Neodiprion lecontei: one gene and its partners. Each later gene encodes a partner of the first gene's protein in a complex. Links are inferred from orthologs where the notes say so. Each region holds a gene or a part of one and is shown in the gene's direction. Other genes may lie near its edges.

The links.
Region 2: phosphatidylinositol N-acetylglucosaminyltransferase subunit C (region 1) and phosphatidylinositol N-acetylglucosaminyltransferase subunit P share a complex: the UniProt entries of both Homo sapiens proteins name them as parts of the glycosylphosphatidylinositol-N-acetylglucosaminyltransferase (GPI-GnT) complex. The link is inferred for Neodiprion lecontei from reciprocal best matches to the Homo sapiens genes PIGC and PIGP.
Region 3: phosphatidylinositol N-acetylglucosaminyltransferase subunit C (region 1) and phosphatidylinositol N-acetylglucosaminyltransferase subunit A share a complex: the UniProt entries of both Homo sapiens proteins name them as parts of the glycosylphosphatidylinositol-N-acetylglucosaminyltransferase (GPI-GnT) complex. The link is inferred for Neodiprion lecontei from reciprocal best matches to the Homo sapiens genes PIGC and PIGA.

Annotation. Positions count from the first base shown.
Region 1 is NC_060261.1:2,753,970-2,762,150, forward strand, and holds phosphatidylinositol N-acetylglucosaminyltransferase subunit C, read left to right. Parts: upstream 1-3,574; 5' UTR 3,575-3,714; intron 3,715-3,799; 5' UTR 3,800-3,980; intron 3,981-4,281; 5' UTR 4,282-4,388; coding exon 4,389-5,318; 3' UTR 5,319-5,812; downstream 5,813-8,181. Other genes in the region: nuclear pore complex protein Nup205, read left to right, coding at 1-2,133, 2,218-2,468, 2,558-2,797, 2,892-3,090, 3,169-3,383; NF-X1-type zinc finger protein NFXL1, read left to right, coding at 6,115-6,124, 6,789-7,060, 7,161-7,273, 7,417-8,181. UniProt on the Homo sapiens protein: Part of the glycosylphosphatidylinositol-N-acetylglucosaminyltransferase (GPI-GnT) complex that catalyzes the transfer of N-acetylglucosamine from UDP-N-acetylglucosamine to phosphatidylinositol and participates in the first step of GPI biosynthesis.
Region 2 is NC_060263.1:36,933,739-36,940,979, reverse strand, and holds phosphatidylinositol N-acetylglucosaminyltransferase subunit P, read left to right. Parts: upstream 1-3,832; 5' UTR 3,833-3,934; coding exon of another isoform or gene 3,935-3,951; intron 3,952-4,082; coding exon of another isoform or gene 4,083-4,211; intron 4,212-4,320; coding exon of another isoform or gene 4,321-4,447; 5' UTR 4,448-4,502; coding exon 4,503-4,907; 3' UTR 4,908-5,185; downstream 5,186-7,241. Other genes in the region: protein ELYS, read right to left, coding at 1-2,337, 2,487-2,787, 2,925-3,302, 3,478-3,507; prostamide/prostaglandin F synthase, read right to left, coding at 5,274-5,584, 5,666-5,870, 6,115-6,171. UniProt on the Homo sapiens protein: Part of the glycosylphosphatidylinositol-N-acetylglucosaminyltransferase (GPI-GnT) complex that catalyzes the transfer of N-acetylglucosamine from UDP-N-acetylglucosamine to phosphatidylinositol and participates in the first step of GPI biosynthesis.
Region 3 is NC_060263.1:40,958,930-40,967,253, forward strand, and holds phosphatidylinositol N-acetylglucosaminyltransferase subunit A, read left to right. Parts: upstream 1-2,845; 5' UTR 2,846-2,970; coding exon 2,971-2,996; intron 2,997-3,300; exon of another isoform or gene 3,301-3,301; coding exon 3,302-3,458; intron 3,459-3,480; exon of another isoform or gene 3,481-3,508; coding exon of another isoform or gene 3,509-3,589; intron 3,590-3,674; coding exon 3,675-3,854; intron 3,855-4,002; coding exon 4,003-4,237; intron 4,238-4,431; coding exon 4,432-4,729; intron 4,730-4,805; coding exon 4,806-5,166; intron 5,167-5,241; coding exon 5,242-5,334; 3' UTR 5,335-5,509; downstream 5,510-8,324. Other genes in the region: neuralized-like protein 4, read right to left, coding at 178-618, 1,451-1,666, 2,001-2,159. UniProt on the Homo sapiens protein: Catalytic subunit of the glycosylphosphatidylinositol-N-acetylglucosaminyltransferase (GPI-GnT) complex that catalyzes the transfer of N-acetylglucosamine from UDP-N-acetylglucosamine to phosphatidylinositol and participates in the first step of GPI biosynthesis.

The DNA of each region.
Region 1 (8,181 bases):
TGTCAGTTGGCATTGTTCAAGGCGTCGCCAACGAACCTGGAGCAGATTCAGAGTTACTTTCTACATTCACGTCTACTCCTTCGTTGGCAACGACGATCAGGCATGGTTTCGTAGAGTGTCTGGATTCTGACGAAAACTTTGAGTCTGAGGAAGAAATTGGGAATGAAAAACGAAGCGGTAATTGCAAGGGCAGGATTTTGTCCCTCTTGATGCAGAGCATAACACGCCCTGCGCCTAACATAGCTCATTACCTACTTGGATTCGACATCACTAAGGACATAAGAAAAACTGCAATTCAACAACCTGGAATACTAGGCTTTCCGAGGACTTGTCTGCACTCTATACTCGGGATATTGGAATTATCGTTGGAGCGTGGCCGTGACAAGATTACAGAGGCTTGCTACTGGTTCCTTCACATACTGGCTTCAAATAACAAAACCTCTGTTTCCGTACTTCGGTTCCTTCGGACAGCCACCAATCAAGATTTCGTACAACGTCATCTTTCCAAGCTGCCATTCCAGGGAGCGAACAGAGCGACTGAGCTTGCCTGCATGTCCTGGCTGCTAAAAATATCGGCAATTGAATTGCGCGTCGCTGGTGGCAGCCTTCAGAACTCCCTGATTCAAAGACTAGTCGGCAATCTAATCCATGACAGAGATCAAATTGTGCCATCCCAAAAACTCCTGATGGATCTACTTCACTATATCGATTTCCAGTTAAATCTAGATCCTCCAAAGTCCTGGGAATACTTTGATCCGTCTCAAATTGAAATGGTGTTGGGACGCTGCAGCATTCCAGTTCCACTTGGTGGAAGTCCCCAGCTTATAGATATCAGAAAACTTCACAATCTTATAACAGAAGAATTGGCTGGTACGCAAACTAGCGCAACTGCGACTCAGCGTAAGCTTGTGCAACAGGAGCTGCAATCTATCCTTGCATACGCCTTGAAACGAAATCAAACGAAAACCCTTTCTTACGCTACTGTGAAGTTCGTCGAGGGCTGGTGTCAAACAACTGAAATTTTATTCTCTGTCGCAACGAACCAGCAACTTCCCGCTGCTCAGAGGCAAAATCTTCTGCTAAATTTGTCACATGATTTACTGCAGAAGATGACGTCTTGCGAAGCTTTGAACGAAATCAAAACACTTGTATCTGGAACCGTGCTCGTACTACTAGTAAACCTTCGTAATAGCTTCTCCATGCAATCTGACGATGAGCTGCTACCGTCTTCCGCTGCAAATACAACAATGATGAAGATTATCCTTAGTCATATTCTTCAATGGATCTTAAATTCTGGTGTATCCTCACAAAAAGTTCGAACCCATCTTTATGGGGCACTTCTCAATTTCCTCTGTGTAGTCAGTTTGGAAAGATCGGAAGTTGTGACCAACATGGATTCCATGTATGTTAGTCAGTTAGATAGTTCGTATTATAGAAGTACGCCGCTACAGGAGCGTTCGCATCGATATGCGACGATACAAGTGATCAGTAGTTACGGTAACAAGTTGATGGATATATTGTCCCACGATTGTTCCGGTGGACACGACGTCTGTAAAATGCTGTCATTATCGTGCCTCGACAAAATTTTAGAATTCGATTGCAGCAATACGTGGGTCACATATCTGGCTAGCAGAGGGTACCTTAAACACATGGTAGACAGTCTTCTGGATTCTGACAATTTATTGCGAACAATGCTTCAACCAGATCCACTCACTCTGCGGCCCCTGTATTTATACGAATCAAAAATGGCAACGCTCTGCAGAATGGCGTCGACCAGACTGGGTGCCGAATGTCTTCTGGAAAATAAAGTCCTATCTTGCTTATCAAGCATGTGTGTTTTCGATCAGCATCCTGACGTAAATGTGGGCTTTGAAGGTGGAGATATATCCTTTGTGCCTTCCATAGGTCAGCGGTATCAGCAAATCTTTTTACCTGCACTTTATTTGTGCGATGCTTTGCTGACTACCCTTGGAACGGAAAATCAGTCTTGTGCCATACAAGTTTGCGGATTTTTACAGAGTCATCGAGATACCGTTGAAATGGTTTTACGGAATGCATCACCTCATTCTAATGTTCTGTTCCTCAAAGAAGTCGCCAGTCTCACCGGGGTCATCGCAAGGTCTGCCAACATTGGTAGGCATCTCTCATTCAATTGATTTTTTCATGATTTTATTTCTATTTTATTCTATGCAAATATTTAATTCTCTTCTTTTTCAGACATGTATAAACTTGTTGACGAGGAATTGGCCAGAGCCAACTCTAACGAACACAAATCTGAAGATAGTACAGGCATGAGAGAATTGCGAGCCCATCTTTATAGGCTCCAACGTTTGATGCTCTCCATGGTCTCCAGATTTCAGCCACAACTGCCTCCCGTCGTACCTCTACATCAACAAATGGAAGCTACCCAACAACATTCGTGCGCAATACAAATTGCTGCCAACGTTATGCTGTACACTCGTAATCAAGTATGTCAAACTTACCGACGCAACTCATTTACATTGATTGAAGATTGAACTGTGTTCAAAATTCTGATTTTCTTTATTCGCTTTTACAGATGGAACACACCCGGATGGATCAGAAAATAAAAAACGTACTTTTTGAACCTTATTTAACAGACAGACCTGGGCTTAGAGATGGAAGAGGAAAAGATTCCACTGGTGGAATACATTTGGGTGCAATTATAGGGCAACTTGTTTCTTCTACTTCGTTACTTCACTCAGAACTGCCGCATTTAGACACAATGGTTAAAAATGCCTCGATTATAAAAGACATGAGTTCAAATGACCTTAAAAAAGTGAGTGCTAACATGATAACACGTTTCTAATTTAAAATTTCACCAATGACATTCTTTGAAATTGAAATCAAATTTCGTTTTTTTTTTTCTTCAGTACATAACAGAAGAGGAAGGTGAATTGGATATTCAAAAACAGCGATTAATAGCCGAGAAAAGACTAGCGGAAGAAGCGCGATGCAAACGCGGAGATCTCAAGTACTGTTCATTAATCGTAGAACATAGTCTGTACATTTTATGGAGTCACTTAGACTTCTTTGCCATGCAAGCAATGACGCGTCACAACAGATCTCAAGGTAAGCGGCATCTGGAGATCTATGTTGAATATTTTTACAATATTTCAATAGGTAAAATATTACTTCTTCTCTTTACAGTGTCTTCGAGTAACTTGGATGAAACTGTAGTCTCGTGGAGAATATCTGCAGAAATGTTGTCCGATCTAAAGCAAGGGCTTGTTTCCACCCTATCGGACAGTTTTATTACCCAACTAATGGACACACCAAGAGAATTCACTACGACGGATCGATCTTTTATCGAAGCATTAGTTCGACGGATCAAAAGACTCTTGCAGTTTATTATCACCAAGTAACATTGTAGCAGTATTTTATTTAGACAAAACCAAATCTGAGTTCCAGTCCAATATCGCCGCCTCGAAAAGCTTATGCGAGACATAATCTTCTGAATCATTTCTTATGTATTAATAAAAAATAACTTGTTATATTAAATGAAGATTTTTTTTTTCTCATGAATTTAGGTCACTGTTATTTATTTGTGTTGTGTGTTTTTTTTTCTTATTTATTAAAATTTGGTCGTTCTGATGCAAATCCAACTAAATACAAGATATGAGAAATACGTCAAGTACGGCCTGCGTGATTCAGTGCATAATCAATCAAATTCAGGCCTTCAACATAACCTCAAAGGTAACACTTATCTTCGTCAGATGTTAATCTACCTGTTCCATTTTTTTTAATGATTGTGAAAAAGGAATGTATTTTCATATTTTAGCGATAATTAAATGATTTCTAAACTGTAATAAAATATCCCTTGACTCGTGGTTGAGATTGGTTGACACAAGTCATGAACAAATTTGGATCTACAAAAATCTTAGAAATAGTTTTGTTTCTTCGACGGACTGTCACGAATGACGCATGAGAATGAAAAATTTTTTATACTTCAATTATTCTCGGTAAGCAATTCGAACTTATTTCAATATGAGATCTATTTATCGTATCGCTTTCAAACTACAAAGAATTTGACCCCAAACTAACCTAATTTAACTAGAATTTATATTGAATTTTATAAAGCTTTTCGTTTGTCGTTCACTGAATCCATTAATTAATCCATATCCCGTAACTTTCCATAAATATTTATAAAACTACAGTCTACATATACAGCTCGTTGAGTAACGAGAAATCATATAAGAATTTGTGCGATGCAATCAGGCAACGAGACTATCTCAGACGTGTACCATTATATTTTATTTTCAGTTCAACAGTTCTGAAGCACAATGCTTAAAATTTGGCAGCTGTCCAAAAAACTCTAGCATAACGTCAAGCCGGGGAGTGAAATTGTGAATTTCTGACTGAATGTTGGAATGAGTTACTCAATGAATGACATTCCACTGGAGAGTCATTTAACGCAAAAAAGAAGAATGTCTCATTGTGAATTAGAGGCGCCTGTTATGAATGGAAAGAAAACAAATGGAGTTGTGACTAGACGGTGGCGTAAAAATTTGTACGAAACTCGTGGGCTGCCGGATAATTATACGGACAGTTCGTTCCTGGAAGAATTGCGTAAAAATATAAACCCAAGTAACATTACAACCATCGAGGCTATATCGTTTGCGGCGAGTGTGTCCGTCCAACTGAACATAGTAATTTTATTCGTCATAGTTTTCGTTTGGTTGGACAACGAATGGATAGCGCCTAATGCCATCTTTGTGTTCAGTGGTATTCTCACATTAGCCGGGTATTTTCTTCATACTTTTAAGAAGTCCGACATGCTGGAAAAAATGTCCAAAGACCTTAGAACTGTCTTGATATTTCTTGCTTTTGGCTACATCTTATCACCGATATTGAAAACCCTGACTGCAACCGTCAGTACGGACACAATATATGCCATGACAATATTTATGTTTTTGATACACCTTATATTCAGCAAATACGGCTCCCCACAAGTCTCTTTGTCCGACTCCCTCTCCATAACTTCCTCAATTTTTGGCTCGCTCATGTTAGCATCCAGACTCGTTTCGCCTCTGCACGCCTTCTCACTCCTTACCACAGCCGTTCTTTGCTTTGTTCTTTTGCCGTTTGTCATGTTTCAAATCGATGGCAAAGTGTGTATCACAATTGTTCTTTCTGCCACTACGACTTATCTACTTTACGTCATATCTTCAACAATTTCGTGCGTATTTATCGGAGTTACCATATTTCTACAACTGGTTTGTCCCCTTTGCTATATCAGGTGGCAAACTTATAAAGAAAATATTTACGGCCCATGGGACGAGGCCGTGATCACGTCTTGAAGATGTCTAAAGCATTTATGAAATCAGTGAACAGCATGTTATGTGAAGCACACATTTTTAAACCAAATAATATTTATTGGATGAAGGAATTTAGTTTCAGATAGAATTTTCACTGTTAATAAATTCAATACTATCGAAAATGGTGGGGGATAGTGAAATATTCATGGAACGATGCTGTAGTTTTTTTATAATATTTTATTCTGATAAATAGTGCTATAAAAAATTCGTATAAATTAATGTGACAATTTTTAGTTAGTATGGAAATGAATCGGCACACGAATCATTTTTTATTCATTTATGATACATTAATTCTTATAAAATCAGGTATATTGTTATACTTGTACAGAAATATTGGGCACTGCGTGTCTGCTTATACGAGTATTAGGTATTATTATAAATTCAAATCCGAGTTTGAGCTATTATCCAAAAATTAAACCTAAGGAAACTTAATTTAGGGTTCAAATTTGTTAAACAATATCGGTAATACAAGAATACACATATTTTACTTTCTCATTTACAACCAGAATGTTTATTCCTGCGTTTTATTTTTTACATATCCAATCCCGAGATCACGGTGAAATTCAAATTTGAATCGAAACTACCGCCAAAATCCTGATCACGTGATTTCGGGAAGTGTGGCGCGTATCGATCGCATATGCGCAGTAATCAAATGATTGTGCTGGTGTCTGAAGTGGTTGTGGTTGTGGTTGTGGTGAATTAATGACGTTGATAGAGGTTATGAGTTTTGTTTTACTGATCTCATTCCATTTTAGAGGCAAATAACAAGGTAATAAGAATGAACTCTGGTCAGTTTCACCGTGTTTTTAAAAATCATGATAGAATTTTGCGACAAATTTTCATGTGCTTTTTTTCCACTCCGCGTTTCTTATTCTTCTAAATATTATCAAAGTCTTAATATTGTCTTTTCTGCAGTATTGATATGTAACTAACAAAATTGAGATAAGAATTATTTACGTCAATTATCGTAACTATCGGTACGAGTCTATCTTGAAATTATTTCCTTATTTGTAGTTCTATTTATCTTGGCCTCCAGAAAAATTTCCCCTCAACAGGCTTGATTTATTAAGTTATGATTTTTACGTAATAGATGTTTGAAAAAGAGAATAAGTAACAATCCCATTTTAATGTCAATGTAGCTAGGCAAATTATTTTCCATTTGGTAAGCCTCAATTATCATTTTCTGAAAGTACACTTGTTTACAGATCTGTAATTAGGTATCCGAAGTAAATAAAGAAGAGGTTCGGAGGCAGTTGTGTTTTATATTTAGGTTCATAAGGACCGTTTGACAGCTTTGTGGTAATTGAAAATATTTTATTGTTTGTTCAATTACTAGTAAATAAAATCAACAAAACGTAAGTTTCACATTAGGCTTTCATTTTCAAACCAAAACTGAGGATCGTATAGGAATTATTTGACAATTTGTCTACATTGTAAAGCTTGGATTTTTAGGATTCAAAATGAAGAAATTTAAGAGAGCGCAAGCGCAAAATCAAGCGGCGATCGAAAGGCACATGGTTACACATCCTATGGTAGAATCGTCGAGCGACGAAGAAGATGAAACTGGGCAAGAGATATTGGAACAAGCTGTTGGAAAGGTCCTGACTTCCTACCAAGATCAAGGTGGAGATCCTGAAAAAATCCTATCTTATTTGGCTGATACTTTTCAATCTAACGGCGCTGTTTGCTTGATATGTATTTCGTCGGTGAAGAAAACAGACGCAGTAAGTTTGAATGAAGAATTTGTCATGATAACACTCTCATCGCTGTTCAGCCAGTAGAAATTGTTTTGTCATGTTTTATCCTAATAAATTATTGATGCAGATATGGAGCTGTACCATGTGCTACTCATTTATGCATCTCCCGTGCATTCAGCACTGGATTCGAGACAGCCTTGCTTACAAGCGGGACCGTGGAATTTCTCAATTATGGGCATGGTGGGTTCAATCAATTGTTAACTCGCTGTTAAATTCTGACAGCTTTTGTTCTTTTCAAATCAACTCTGATGAGCAAATAAATCTATGATCCACCTTTATTATCGATGTCCAGAGTTAATGACAATTGAGTCTGATTATTGCAGCCCAAAATGTCGTACAGAGTATGCCGAAGACGAGGCTCCGCAACACTATGAATGTTTTTGCGGAAAGACGAGAGATCCATCATATCAACCATGGTGCGTACCACATTCTTGCGGAGAAGCATGTGGAAAACTTCTCCAACCAAAATGCGGGCATTCCTGTGTTCTGCTATGTCATCCCGGACCTTGTCCTCCGTGTCCTAAAATGGTTTCTTCCAAATGCTACTGTGCCAAATCAGCCCCTCGTCCGAGACGCTGTAACGCCAAAGAATGGAGCTGCGGCGCTGTTTGCAGCAGGAATTTGAAATGCGGGAAACACACGTGCACAGAAATGTGTCATAGTGGCGAGTGTCCACCATGTCCGGAGAAGGTTTCCGCGACTTGTCACTGTGGGAATAAGACCGAGCTGAGGCCATGTTTCGACACGGTGTGGCGGTGCGATAAACCGTGCAGAAAATCCTTATCTTGTAACGTCCACGTTTGCCAAGACGTCTGCCATCTGCCCGGAGACTGTGGCGATTGCCTGACGGCCAAAAACAGGTCGTGTCCGTGCGGGAAGAGGAAGTACAAGATTTCCTGCAAGCAGGAGGCAGCGACGTGCGGTGATACTTGCGAAAAATTACTGGATTGCGGAGCACATTACTGCAACAAACGCTGTCATCTCGATAGCTGCGGGCAATGCTTGGAGGTGGTTACCAAATCGTGCAAATGCGGTGCTCACAAAAAAGAGATAGCTTGCGCCAAAGTGTTTCACTGCGACACGAAGTG
Region 2 (7,241 bases), on another chromosome or scaffold:
ACGACAGAGCTTTTGTTACATCGGGTAGTGTAGCATTATAAGCTTGAACCATTGTTAAAGAAGCCGACTGAATATTTTTTAAATGAGTCTTAGAGAGACTAGACTGATAAGCACTTCCTGCTTCGGTGTAACGACACCTTTGTAAATAGTACAACAAACGAGTTTCTTCCAACTTATTTCCCTCAAGGAATTTTACAAAGGCTTCTTCCTCTTCAGGATCCAAAGCAAGTTGTAGAATCTCATTCAATTTACCACAGGCTTTACATGCTTGAAAAAAGCAAGTTAACAATTGTCTATAGTGTGACTGTGGTCTTTGGTGAAAAGCTGTTTGAACCAAACCACATTCAACTGAAAGACTGATGCTGGTACTCTGATCACAAATTGCTGACAGAGGCGGTTTTCTTACTCGCAAATAAATCAGTGCTATTTTGTACTCATTATTACGAATCAATGTTCTTATTACAAGTTTGTGATGCCACTCTTTAACATCTGAATCTGATACCAATTGCCCGGTCAGAGTGTCCAAGAATCCTTGATAATCTTCATGATCAAGTAACCAGAAGGCTTGAGTTAATTTTATGAGACTCGGACTCATCTTAAAAGCTGATGGATACTTTATCAACTGATCAACATCGGGGCAAGAACCTTGTAAAAGTTTAACCAGATCCATTAGCAAATAAATCGTAATTTGATGTTTGTTCTCGATTTCGTCAGACTCGTTCTGATTATAGCAGTCGAAGAGGTAACTTCTTAGAAGCGATTGTAAAGATGGAGGAGGATAATATCCTCCTGTGGTAATATCCCCGCCTTCGCGTTCCCACTGTGATCTTAATGCCTGACACTCTTCTGTCATTAACTCATCAATGAATAACTCTTCCTTACGATCTGGAGGGCTAACAGTATTCTCTCTAATTTGTTGACGTTTATTTTTATAAATGGCTGCTAATCTCTCGTATGGATATGGTATTTGCAGCGAGAATGTTATTGGTAATGGTTCATCATTGACTTCATGTGTTTCAGGTAGTAGACCGACATCGTAAAACCAAAGAAGAACTCCTAGATGAGTAGCGACACGGCGTAAGGCTCTTTGTTGCTTCACAAGATCGTCCGATGGGATGGGTAATCTGGCAACTACTGTTGATAAGCATTCAAGTTGTTGTGAACAAAACCGTAACAACTTTATCTCTTTGTCTCCGATTGTTGAACCGGATTGGTCAAACAGTGGAATACATAGCTGATCAGCTACCATTTTTAGGGAAGAAGCCCTCTGAGCTCCCCACCTCAAAAACATAGGAAATAAATATGATACGCTCCCATCCCCCCATTCTTTGGCACATTTGATTAAGAATGATGCCCATCTTTGCTCCAGACAGAGAGAAAGGAGCATTTCTCGTTGTGCGTTTTGATCACAGTCAAAAGAGCAGTCGGTGTTGAATGGGACTAATCCAGCGGCAAGGCACTTATGAAATGTTTCTGAGGGTTGAATCAAAATGCTGGGACCAGCAATAGCCATGTCTCGTAGTAATTCCCACTGCAACCCTCGGGTCATCCAAATTCTTAGGTGGTTATTTGTGAGCTCCACCCAATCAAGACACAGAGATTTGGGGTAGAACAGCTCATCCAGAGAATTTCCTCCGTTATTAGGAAACTCTCTTAACGTTAAAGGAGAATAAGCACAGCTTAAAACCATATCGTCAGCAATATTCAATGTCTCTGATTTCATCTGATAATAACACAGGAAAGTATTTGGGTTCTGACAGTTGTGAATGTTTCGTGGTAAATGTTCTCTGTACCACTGATTTAAATCAAATAATAACGCTTTCCCACTCAATCCAATTAGCAATAAGCTCGCATCTCCTTTCTTATTGTTCGGTTCACTTTGCTCACAATTGTTCATTCTTTCTATCGAAACCAAGTTCGTTATTCTGTCAACAGGTTCTAATTGTAGATCAAATTTCAGACTGGGCTCACCTTCTATCTTAAAATGCAGATTGGTTTCCTTGTCACAATACCTTCTTTCGATGAGCAGTGCGTACATCTTTAGAATAGGAGCTGTTTCAAAGGTTTCTTCCTGGTACGCAACCCACAGGTAGTAAAATGGTCTCGGATCGTCGGCTGGCTCAAGCAGAGCCAAATGACTGATCGCCATACTATTTTTAGCAGAAGCACTTATCCAACCAATCGAACCATCGTTTTGCCAAATTATGACCCTCCCCAAACATCCAGATATCACACAGCCAATCTTTTTTGCATAGATCAGTGTCGTTGTAAAATTTTCATCATACAGCGGTGATGATTCAAATTCCTCCCGATTGAATCTTATAAAGTCTTCAATGCCTAAGTAATCAACAAAATGGAAGAAAACTCATTAAACAAAACTTAACAATTGAAAAGAGGGTCAATTATGACGGTATCTCACGATTATGTTTCAAATTCGATGAGAGACAAAATCGTCGATATATGAAAATTAAGAATAAGTTACTAACCAGGATTCAGCAGGTTGTACGCTTTGTGTATTCCCCTATCACAACGTTGTCTCGAAGATAATGAATACCTGTCTTCAGATAATTCAATGTCAGCTGGTGATAGTTCATTGGTCGTCAGGTAAGATACATCTCCGTCCCATAATACACGACGCAAATCCAATACAATATGGTACAGATTGCGCAAAGCGACACACGCGATTCCAGAACTATTGCTCAACATGCCATGTGTTCTTTTCTCATTGAAATCTTCCCACTCTGCACCTCCGTTCATCACGCACACCTGCTCCACACCTGCAGGCATCTGGTAACCGCGGTATAGCAAAAGATTTTTGTCAATTATCATCAATTTTACTTTAGTCACTGAATGAAAAATATACTTGTAATACATATATACGATAGAATTAAAATAGATAACACGTGAATAAAAATGCAACTTACCCTTATTGATCTGAGAACTCTTGATGTGGAGCAGTCAAAAATGCACAACATTCCAGCAGAATCTTTAGCTCTATTCGCGCCATTATCCAGTCCAACTAAGAGCAATAAAACGTCCCCAGGCTGCGTGGGAAATTGTGCGACAGCCGTCACTTTCTGACAGAAAGTCCAAGAGGAAATGTTTTCTCCTGTTTTTGTGTTGATTACAACAAGCCGTGAACCATTACTCAGCCATGCGTGATTCGCATCTTCCAAAAAGCTTCCACGGGGAATATCTGAGCCTCTGGAGGCAGGGGATCCTGCTGACTGTCTAAATTCATCTCCATCTGACGGGTTAAGGCCATCCCATATCGATGCTTGGATTTCTATTATTTTACGAACCTAAATAACGGTTACGATGTATGAAAGTGGTGTAAATAAGAATAGAAAAATATGAAAACGTGAGATTTCTCAAGCCGATTAGTTTTCGGTTTTTGGCAGGCATTGCTTGAACGTTAAACATGTTTTCTCTTAGTAACACTTAATTGCAATTTTTTAATACTGTTAAGAAATTCACCTCACAACGCGTATGCTCCAGCTCTTTCATATTTCAAATTATGATTTACGAATCACGTTGAGGCCAGAAAACATTTAGATACGACTGTATTTTTTATCGCTCTAAATGAGGTTATGTTTCGTTACTTGGAACGTAATAATTTTGAATTCGAATGAAAATCCACTTGAGATACCAGTTTGGCAGCTCTTATTATTGCCCGGTGAAAAAATGTTTCACGAATGAAACATACGTGACGATAAATATATTTCTACTGTATTATTAAATTTAAGTTTTATTTCGCATCTCGTGACCATTCAAAAATACCCTGAAGTACGTTAAAAATGGTCGAACGTAGAAGGCTTCGATTTGATTGGGCGACGAGTTTACGGCTGCAATTTCGTTTCGTCCTCGTGTTTCGAACTTCAAAGCAAAGGAATACGTGTTTACGAATGAAAGAATTTCACGAGCGTATTACGCGATGAACGACATTAACGTGTAAGTATCCTTTTGTGGATGTATTCGAATTGTATTCTAAGAAATTTCTTTATTATCAACGTTCTATTATCGGCACTTTATCGTCTGGTAAAAAGATTTTTCTACCATAACCTTAATACCGCAAATAACAGATCCGTTTCAGTGCCTTTTACAACGGCCCGAGAGGCAGACGTTGTTTATCAAGTATTGAGAGTTGATTCCGAGCCGAAGCGAAGCGGCGTTTCTAAGATACTGAGTTTGGATGAAACCCGCCTCAACGTGTAAGAACTGGGCTTTCCAAAGACTCTTCTACCAACTCACAAGATGAACAAATTTATGTTCAACCGTTTATCAGAAGATTTATTTTGTTTTTTTTTTCTTTGCTTCCAGGAATTTTACAGGCACAGAAGCACGCAAGGTTCGAGTAGGGCTGACCTCATTTTTTGAAAGCTTACTTCTTGTACTTGAAACACTCAAAGAATTTGGTCCGCCTGCGCCTGAGTATACACACTATTGACTGGACATATTCCACACAATACGGCCTACATAACTATTGGCAGAAATTTATTAAAATGCCTGAGCATACCCCAGCACCTTATACGCCCCGATCAGTCTATGGGTACGCTTTGTTTGTCGGTTCGAATATGTTATTCCTATTGTATTTGGTGTGGGCTATAGTCCCAGATAATTTGCTGCAAGAAAAATTTGGCCTTACTTATTGGCCATTGAAATACTGGGCTGTGGCCATTCCAATTTGGGCCTTGACGGCCACTGCGCTGTTCGCGTTTCTTATTTATCCAGCGATCAATCTGCTGATGACACCAGATATAGACGATATTAGGACAATTAGAGACAAGTTCTCTCTGAATACAGCGGATAAAGTTCCTGGAGGTATTCCACCTGTGTCTGACATACCCATAACTCAGATTTGCAGGCAGCTGTACCTGAGACCTGATGGAAAAATGAAAAATGCTTGACTAGTTTCAGTTGCATGGTATTGTTCAATGTAAAGCTAGTTATGACGTTATCATGTATTTGTATTTTTATAATATTATTTTGTTTTTAAAATACAATATTGTGCGTATAAGTTTAAAACGGTTATAGAATTTCATTTTTTTGTTCATAACAACCTCTGGCCACGCTGATTATAAATTTCTTTCTTATAAATAACATTACTGCAGATCATTGCATAACAAACTGTATTGTCTCGCTAAACTAAAATATCTTTCCCCTTTCTACAAAGTTACGTGGAAGTTGAACAATTCAAAATCAACAGTTCAGCGTGCGATACAGTTGGACATGAAATGACTGATAAATTGTTTGTGTGAACGTATAGTGTTAGATCAACCAGTCTTTTCATCAATATTAGCTGGAATTGGAATTCCAAGGACTTCGAGAAACTTGGAATTTTTAACGTGCTGTGCAGGGCCATCTTGCTTGAAGGAGTAAAGCAGTTTGCCCCCTTCTTTAACAACTAGGGCCCCACCATTCTGTAATCCATCTCCTTTATAGTTTCCAGATACTTTCAATTCCCTGCCTTTATTAATAGCAGCCCTTGATTCGCCGCTAAACAGCGAAGCAATTACAGAGAAGTAATTGTAGCGCTTAAATCCAAGACCGGCGTAGGTCTTCTTATCAATGTCCACGTAGAGTTCTGTGAGGAAGAGAGAAAAAGATCATCGCAATCAGTACGGGCACTTTCCACTATGGAAACTCCGGCGCGATGACTAAATACCTCCTTTGAAAAATTTCCCGTCCACAAATTCTTGGCTATCAAAGTCCTCCACCCCAACGCCAATCAATTTCACATTGTGTTCCTTGAGGAGATCTGCAATTGCGGACACCTCTTTTGCCCACACTCTGCATAGCATGCATCCCCAGCGTCTGAAGAAGACAATTACCACAGTCTGGTCCTTCCAAAGACTTTCCAGCGGAACGACCTGTTAAAATATTTGAAAGAACGAGATTTTTCAGATTTCCGTACATATCAGTTTAGTAGTAAAATAATATTGATTCTTGATAAAAATCAAGTAACAATGAAAAGTGACGGTAATTGTGCAATTTTATTTTAAGAAACGAAATAAATGATGACGTTTATTTCTGGTAGAATTGTTACGTGAATTTTATAAGAAATATTTACTTTATTACATTTCAGCCGCGTTCAACACTAAGATAATCGCTTACCTCGCCAGTCGTAAGGTTCTTTATTTTATTTTGGGATATATTTGTGAGGTCCACCATTGTTGATAATTCGCTCCTATTGACAATGTTCCGTCACGATGACTACGCGTCAAACTAAAAACAAAACGCAACGTGATATACATATATACAGAGTATAAACGCGATTATTCATACCACTGATTCATACGTATGCATGTGAACGATTATAGGGATATATAATATGTTTATCGATATTTCCTGTCGAAGAAGCGGTCGTTTTGTACCTGTGCTGTAGGTTAATTGGAAAATATCCCCACTCGATTAGTTGTTCCCAGTCACCTTGAATCGAGTCTTGCGTGCTACTATGACTTGGATATTCTTTCGAGTTTTCAAGCACTTATCTGACGATACATCCCATTAACTTCAGTCTCAGAATCCCACCACCTCTAACAACGTCTAATGTGAGTATAAAATATGTAATTTAACCGAGTGTTCTTATAATATCACTTCAACAAGTTGACGTCTCGACTGAATATAAAAAATGTTTGTAGTTTTTCCACAATATTCTATTCCCGCAGGGCTGCTTCTCGCGGTTTGAAATTTATTTGCTTGTAAAATTCGAATACTGATTCACCGTTATTTGATAGTTGCGCAACGCGGTGATAACACCAATTGCACTGATAAAAGCTGAAACCCACAGGTCATAAGTCCGTTTGGTCGGTCGAGGCATGTTTCGGTTATGTCAAGCGGGTGCTTTAGTCGATTTCTATGTGTCGTACATATCTCCAAATATCGAAATCCACATAACTGAGACGCGAAAAAGTCTTAACAGTCCCATTCTATATGCAATTCTGAACAAAAACACTTCAATGCATTTTCATTTGAGACAGAAACAAAGAAATGGCACGGATTCTACAAAATCGCAATAGTAAATTCGTAGAATTCATGCCATTTCTTTATTTCTTCGTCAAATGAAAATTAATTGGAGTGTTTTTGTTGAGGATTCCATACAGAATGGGACTGTTAAGCCTTTCGTCACGCCTGAGATACGTGGACTTCGGTATTTGGAGATATATACGTCAACCCGACCCGACTTTTTCAATTGAAAATTGGGAAAAGAGGAACCAAAAAACCGTTTAGAAACTTCCGTA
Region 3 (8,324 bases), on another chromosome or scaffold:
CATTTAAAAAATTTGTTTAGATTGCAAACATTCCTTACCACAAACTTCAAGCTAATGAATCAATCGATTCGCCCAGGCAAAGTATAACTCAACACAGTGTATGACACATCAAATACTTTTTCAACTTGAAAACTTAAAATATTAGATCGCGGTAAGCCAAGGTGTGAAAAGTCTTACCTCAAAAAGCTCGTTATCTCTTAATGCTCTGTGCGTCATTACAACACCGTTATTAAATTCATCAAGTGGTCTTCGTCTCTCTGCCGTTCTAGCATTGTTAGACAATTTAATGAGGGTTCCGACTCGCTCATGGAACCTTAATCTGTCCTCCCGTATAGCAGCTGCGCTTGGATTCTTAGGTAGGTTGATATTTACATTAACGTTAACGTTCAGATTGGTAACTAAGTTTGTCGTTGAAGAATTTGACGTCTGTGCAAGTGCGTGATCATTGTTGATTTCTGTCTCATTTGTTACGTCTGTTATGGAAAGTGTTGGCCTCGGCTGAGAGACGCTTACTTGGACGCAGTTACCATACATATCAATTACTGCAAATACTCGTGAAGGGATATTTGTAGCTGCTACACCTTGAGACATTCCATTTACATAGAACACTAGTTCACTCTGAAAATGAAACAAAATATTTATTTGACTAATAATTGTTTCAAATACATGAATTTCAGTCTGTTCAATTTTAAAATGTGTCGTCATAATTTCAATGACTGGATTATAAATATCAAAAAATAATGGAGTTCATTAAATCTTCTCTGGTCAATTTTTGACAAACATTGACGGTTGGGAGTTTATTATTCAACGATTCTCAAAAATGACAGAGACAGTATTGAAAAAACATTGCATTATTTTTATCACTTTATAAAATCCTAATTGGAATATAATTCTTCCATTCCAAGAGATGTTAAAGTTTATTCATGTAACATACAAGTGACGGATGCATGGAAATCAGACAATTCTAAATATAATTTCCAGGTGGAAAAGCAATTCATGAAAGGTGCATACCTTGTTAAATAATTAAGCTAGTTGTATTATCCAATAAAATTTAAGTTATCTTTTTTTTTGTGCATCTATTCGTAGAGAATTGGTGCACAAGACGAAGCCAGTGATGAAATTTGAAGAAAATGCTGTCCTACTTTGTTCTTTTGATCTCAAATTTTGAAATAAGTATAATGAAAATACGATGAATCGTCAATTAGTATCTAATTTTGTTATTAAAATTCTTGTTTGGTAACAAAATCCTCTTAACATATCCTCTTAAAATGTTTGTAGTTAACCAATTTTCAATGATAAAGTAGGTGAAGAAAAAGAATAAGTTCAAACAGTTAGATGATCCTACATTTTGGCCTTTTCATATTCTGCTCGGTTCAAGATTCGGTGCTACACATAAAAAAGTCATCGACAAGAAAAAGAGAAATGAACCAAATACACAGTTAAGACTAACATTTGAGGTCCTCATCACACCAAGAAAATCTCCTTCCTCTAACGTTTCAAGATCTGTCCCGTACAGTTCTACAATTGGTTGTCCGTCACGAATAATCCCAGAACCTGACATTATCCATGATCCAAGTCTAAGCTTATTGGCACATGCCGGTAACTCCATACTCTCCGGATCACATGATGTCACTCCGATTTCAATGCTTCCGCTCCATGATACCATCTGAAAGAAATTACCGTGAAGAAACAAATAGGCAAAGAAAGAGCAGAAACGATATGTTGATAGACAAGTAACGAAGCGAAGAATATTGTCTTGCCTAGTTGAGGAGGACATTATGCAAGCACGGGGCATGCAGGAAACGGCGTTACAATTAAGAAACTGCGTGAAAGATACGGATTGGAAAACCGAGGTTTGTCCATAAAAGTCGTGGGCGACGATAGCGTGATGAAAACCTGTAAATCCCGGAGATTTGACAGTTCGGCGAGTCGATGCAGTGGGCGACAGGTACGAGTATGGAGAACTGCAGCATAACATGTCGAGTGGTGCACATCGTTACCTTTTTATCGATGCGAACTTCGAAGAGTTCATCATCCTTGAGCGGTTCGGAGCTTAATACGAGCCCGTAATTATATACAGAGAAATTTCGGACGGCGGTACAGTTGTCATTTATTAAATTAACACGCTCCCCGCATCTTTGGTGAAACATAACGGCCATTTGTGTATGTATACACAACAACAGCAGCAGCAGGGCCTCGTACTCCGAGGTCCCCGTATCCGATATCCGATCACGTCGTCTCGCGTACCAAATCCAACCAAACCATCATAAAAATAATCGATCATTTTTTCCCGATTAATCGAGTATAATCGATTATTTCTTAAACTCGATTAATCGACCGACTCGATTGTTCTTTCTTATATACAATCGGTTTTTGATTTTTACTCCCATATGAATGATACAATACAGAGAGAAACCTTACAATACAATATCAATTTATATGATTAAAGTATCAACAATTGACATTGTCTTACTTACCAAGCACCTATTTGATATAATAAGTGAAAGGCGTATATGAATATTTTCACTTACAACATTTTGATTTCATATGCATCGTTTCAAAAAAAAAAAAAATACGGAATAATCGATTAATCGGTTAATATTTACCGATTCAATTGAGTCATGTTCGATTATTTTTTGGAACTCGATTAATCGAAGCATATAGGATGACACTCGGTGCTAGCGACAGCTAGCGACGAGAAAAATACGCCCGAATGATTGGTTCTGATGTACCAGGTCCCACCTTGTAGGAGGGGTTTATCATTTCAAGCCAATGAAAAGGCTTCATTTCACCTATCCCACCGCAACGTCATCACATCATCAGCCAATTGAGGGAATTCAGTTTGGCAGTTATCGTCTGCAATAATCTGGTCAAAATCCACAATGACGCTCGTTGATAAACACGGGGGTGGTGAAACAGGTCAAATCGAGGTAATTGTGTAAAAAAAACAACTCGGTTTCAGATGTCAAGATGGGACAAACCCGGCATAAGATATGGTGAGCATTAATTCTATTTGTAAAAATATCCTTATATCAATGCCTACTGCTTTCGACTATTCTAACCTATAAATTCTGACACCAAAGCAAAGTCAAAGTTTATCGTCAAGCTGAACTATATCAATTATTTGCAAATGACTTGTAATTAAGAAGTGACATCTGTTTCCTTTATTTCAACTCGTTATCCATCTTGTTTTTGCAACATACCCTACCTTGACTACAGCAAACTGAGATAACTTTTGGAATGAACTTACCTATTCATATTTTAGCAAGTTACAATGCCATAACTTGATATTTTCTTTCAGTATGGTCTCCGACTTCTTTTATCCGAACATGGGTGGGGTGGAAGAGCACATATTCAATTTGTCCCAGTGCCTATTGGGTCGAGGACACAAAGTCGTAGTGCTGACGCACTCTTATGGTGATAGAGTAGGAATACGGTACATGACGAATGGCTTGAAAGTACATACTCTTCTTTGCCCTGTGATCAAATTTTTTGTTTTTAATCCTGGATGCTCATTCAGGGTCTAATTCCTCTGCAAAAATATAGAAAAAACACTGTTTCAAGTCACTCAGCTCATCAAAATCTACGAGTAACTTCTTATTGTAGTGTTAAATCAACTTTTTGTGTTCCCACTCACCACTACCATTGAATATATTACTTTTTATACATTTCAGGTCTACTACTTGCCGATAAAAGTATTTTACAATCAATGTGTGCTGCCCACCATGATCTGTTCTCTCCCATTGATCAGATACATCTTCATACGGGAACAGATCCAGATAATCCATGGGCATTCGGCATTCTCTGCCTTAGCCCATGAAGGGATGTTGATAGGGAGGCTGATGGGACTGAAGGTAAACTGCGGTCGCATTTCCAGGTGTCTTGAGATATTCGTGGGACATACTATGTCACGTAACTGAGAGGCCTGGAAAAGCAATAAATGAAATTAGCAATGAAAACAGTTTGAATTATGTTAAATCTCTTGTACGAATTCTGTTCTAGACTGTATTCACAGACCATTCATTATTTGGTTTTGCTGACGCATCTGCTATCCTGACCAACAAATTCATAGAGATATCACTGTCAGATTGCAATCACTGCATATGTGTATCGCACACTGGAAAAGAAAATACCGTATTAAGAGCAAAAGTACAAATAGAAAGGGTGTCAGTCATTCCAAACGCAGTTGACACTGCGCTATTTACACCTGATGTTAGCAAGAGGAACAATGATTTTAGTGAATATATTTTTCGATATTATAACAAGCAATGTCTAGCTGCTTGATTCTTTAGTCCGCTTTGCTGTTAGATACTTCACTCGAGAGATGAAAACACTTTGGCTTCATACAAGTTGCAAGATGCTTTTATGCAAGGTGGTTATTTGAATCTTTCAATTTCTTGCACATGCAGTGAATCAAAGCTTTTTTTGCAGTTACAATAGTTATAGTATCCCGGCTAGTCTATCGAAAAGGGGTGGATCTCCTAGCCCATATTATTCCTGAAATTTGTGCAAAGTATGAAAATGTACAGTTCCTGATTGGAGGCGACGGGCCAAAACGGTGGCTAATAGAAGAGATTAGAGAACGGAATTTACTCCAACACCGAGTTACGCTGCTCGGTAGTCTCGAACATTCGCAAGTGAGACATGTTTTAAACAAAGGGCACATATTTTTGAACACCAGCCTAACAGAAGCCTACTGTATGGCAATCGTGGAAGCTGCTTCTTGCGGGTAAAGCAACTTTCAAAAGATTTACTTGTGCCAAGTTTTCAGATTGGAAGTTAATGTTTTCTTTAATTTCTTCAAGATTACAAGTTGTTTCCACACGAGTGGGAGGAATACCAGAAGTTTTACCACCCGACTTGATATATTTGGTGGACCCAACAGTGCCTGCTTTGGTACAAGGCATTGATTCTGCGATAGCTGATTATGTCACTGGCAAACAGATGTGTCCTTTCAAGGCGCACAAGCAAATAGCTTCATTTTATAACTGGTTCGACGTTACCAAACGGACGGAAGTTGTATACGGGCTGGTTGAAAAAGAGAAGCAGAAAAATCTTGGACAACAGCTGAGCAGCTACATTCCAACCGGTGTCTTGCCATATTTGCTAGTTGTTTCACTGTGCTATATTATTCTCTACATTCTGGAGTATCTTGTGCCTAAAAAGGTATGTTCATCAGTCACTTAACATGTGCCAAAAAAGTATCAGTTACCACGTATGCAATATATACATTTTTTTTAGTACATCGACTTGGCGCGAGACTACGGACAATCACAGAACGAACCACATATTCACACCAAAGTGCCAAGAAAGAAGAGAGGCAGCAATTCATGACGCTAGTATTATGTTCTGATTCTTAAAAATCAGTATGCTTACACTGATTGTTGTGTCCATTGTTTACCAAAGAAATTACAAATTTCTATACTTGTAAACGTTCGCCTTATCAAGTTTATTACCGAAGTATCCAGATTTCAGAACCATGCTAAGCCTTTAAAAAAAAAAAAAGAAACGAAGTATAGTTCCTATTGCCTAAATTGTTTTGCATATTTGTTTGAAATTTTATATTCGATATTTTTAGCTCATCGCGAAAAAAAGGTTTTGTAATGTTACTTGGCGGTGTTAAAGATTTTGTAAAGGTTGAAGGATTGCATAAGAGTTCTTGAATTTTATTGCGAAACTTTACTCGCTTTATGTAATTGGACTTTTTGTATCTTACAATGTTATTTTCATTTAAATTATTTCCAAAAACAAATTCAACAAATAGTTTTAGGAATACATTGACTGTTCGTTCTTTTTTTTTTTTTATAGCAAATTTGACTACTGCTAATCATTCTTCGTTCCTTACAGTCATTTTGGCGATACATGTTCGTATAATGTAGTCTACAGTGAATTTTGATAATATGAATTTTGTGGCTAAATTCTGGAATATCAGAGGCATTGCTTCAATTACAAGTTTAAAGAATGATTCTTATTTTTGTTTTTTATAGCTACTAGATTAATTTATTTGTACAATTGACTTGATTTAAACAATGAGTGAAGTACAGAAAACTATGTTGTATAGTGAGTTAGGTAATGATTTCGAGCATTTGCAGAAGAATTCAGAAACAGGAATACATAATTTAAAGTTTCTTGTTCTCCCTTTTTTTTTTTACACAGAATGTGTGGTAACAAGAATATGTGCAGCTTATGTAATTGTGATACAAAATAATGAATAATGCATAGTGTCTATGTTGTTAATACGTACCAATAATTGTTGAAGTGAACATACAAAGTTTTTGTCGAACAAATTATTCATAAGACCATATCATGTGTAACATTTAATAGTCACTTGTGTGTGACACCATAACAGTGTGACACTCGATTATTTTCAGTATTTCTCATTCAAATATTTATTGAAACACAATACTGGTCATTTGCGAAGCGCCAAACTAGTACAGTATTTATTAAGTGCTTGTATTTGATGAACTTTATTGTGTTATACCAACTTGTAAGTAGATTTTACAGTATTTTGTAACTATAATTTAATACTTTTATTTTCAAACAAGCCTGAAGGATGTTTCTGTTACTTTTATTTTGATAATTGTGTAAAGAAAATACAAAGTTCAACTATGAGTCTATGAAGGGATCAGACTTTGAACACTTTCCTTCAAAATTAAATCAACTGTGTGCATAAGGTAGTCTCACTATTATAACAGTCTGTATTACTATTTTGTGATATGTTATGAATGTGAACAGGGTGTGCATGCATGTGTATGCGCTCTGACAATCATACCATATCGAATAAACTTAGCTTTCGGACAGCTGAAACGCACATCAGAAGTTTTCCAGAATGCCATGAAATTCGGCGAAAACAGAATATGAGCAAGAAAATGTATCGTGAAATATGATTACCGGCGCTTTGCTACCAACCCCTTTAATGCGATATTATTAATTATCGGTCAACATGAACTATTAAGAAAACCAGAGAAATTCTTTGTACAAATTCAAAGCAGCTAAAGATTTTCTAATTCAATTTCTTTATACAGTAGAAGCTCATTGTTGTCGTTCACTTGGATCTGGTGTCGACGAGGAAACTTTGCCCCACCGATTCACAGAGCGCTAGTCAATTACAGTTTTACACATAACTTGACAACCAGCTTCTAGTGTAAAGGTTTATACATAGGGATGGTATTATTATATAACAACATAACAATGAATGAGATGAATATGATACATGAATATAATGAATATAATTTTATAATGTCTGGATATTCTACGTACAATTAACAATAGCTTATTTTTACTATAAGAGACAAATAACTTTGTTGACGTGTTAAGAAGTCTATAAAGTCTCGGCGAATTTTCAAAATTCGTGAGATTCTAAGATACAAATAATAAATACATGTATACGTCATGTAATTATAATTAAAAGCAATATTTTAATCGAAACCTAAATACCTAATTATTGCTTATCACCCCTTACAAAAATTAGAATATTTATTATGCTTCAGCTCTCGTGTCGAAATCAGAGAACCACCTCTCAGTGGTAATATTTTCCATGCTGAATCCGATTTGTTATTGAAATATATTTGAGAAAACGTGAACTTTATTCCATCAGTGGTATAACAGATTACTTAAAACCATTTACATTGATTTGGTAGGTTTTTTTGTTTTTGTTTTTTTTTTATTATTATATACAAGTCATGAGAATCAGCAATTATTTATAATATTTATAACGTGCACAGCATCAACATCGCAGACTCTCACACAAATCAACTCACAGTTCCGTTGATACTTGCTCTCTGGTGTATGCAATTTCATTGCATATTATTATTATTATTATTATTACTACTACTAATTTATATCTCACAACTCGGTAATTTATACCTTTCAGGCAACTATAACACAACATTTAATATCTAAATAAAAAAAATTGTCCTGTATCGAATACAATTTTTCTTCCTCTTCTTCTTTTTACCAGGAGATGACCTTTCGAAATAGATGCAACTACCAAAGATATTCTTTTTTTTCCACTTTTGTCATGGATATTTGTATTTTACCTTGAAAAATTTGTGTAACAGTAGACCTACATTGTCGATATGATTAATTGGTCACTTAAGAACAACCAGTCAACGATGAATTAAATATATATAGGTATATCTTCGGATCGCCAATTACCCGCATGTATTTTATGCGTATGAAACAGCTGGCGGTGATTACAGCTCTTCCGAACACTCACAGCTTGATATAACACTTCATGCATAACGATGGATAATGAATTATACATCACAAGAATTCATACGAAATTACAAATACACTTGACTCTGGGTTCACTGAAATCGCCT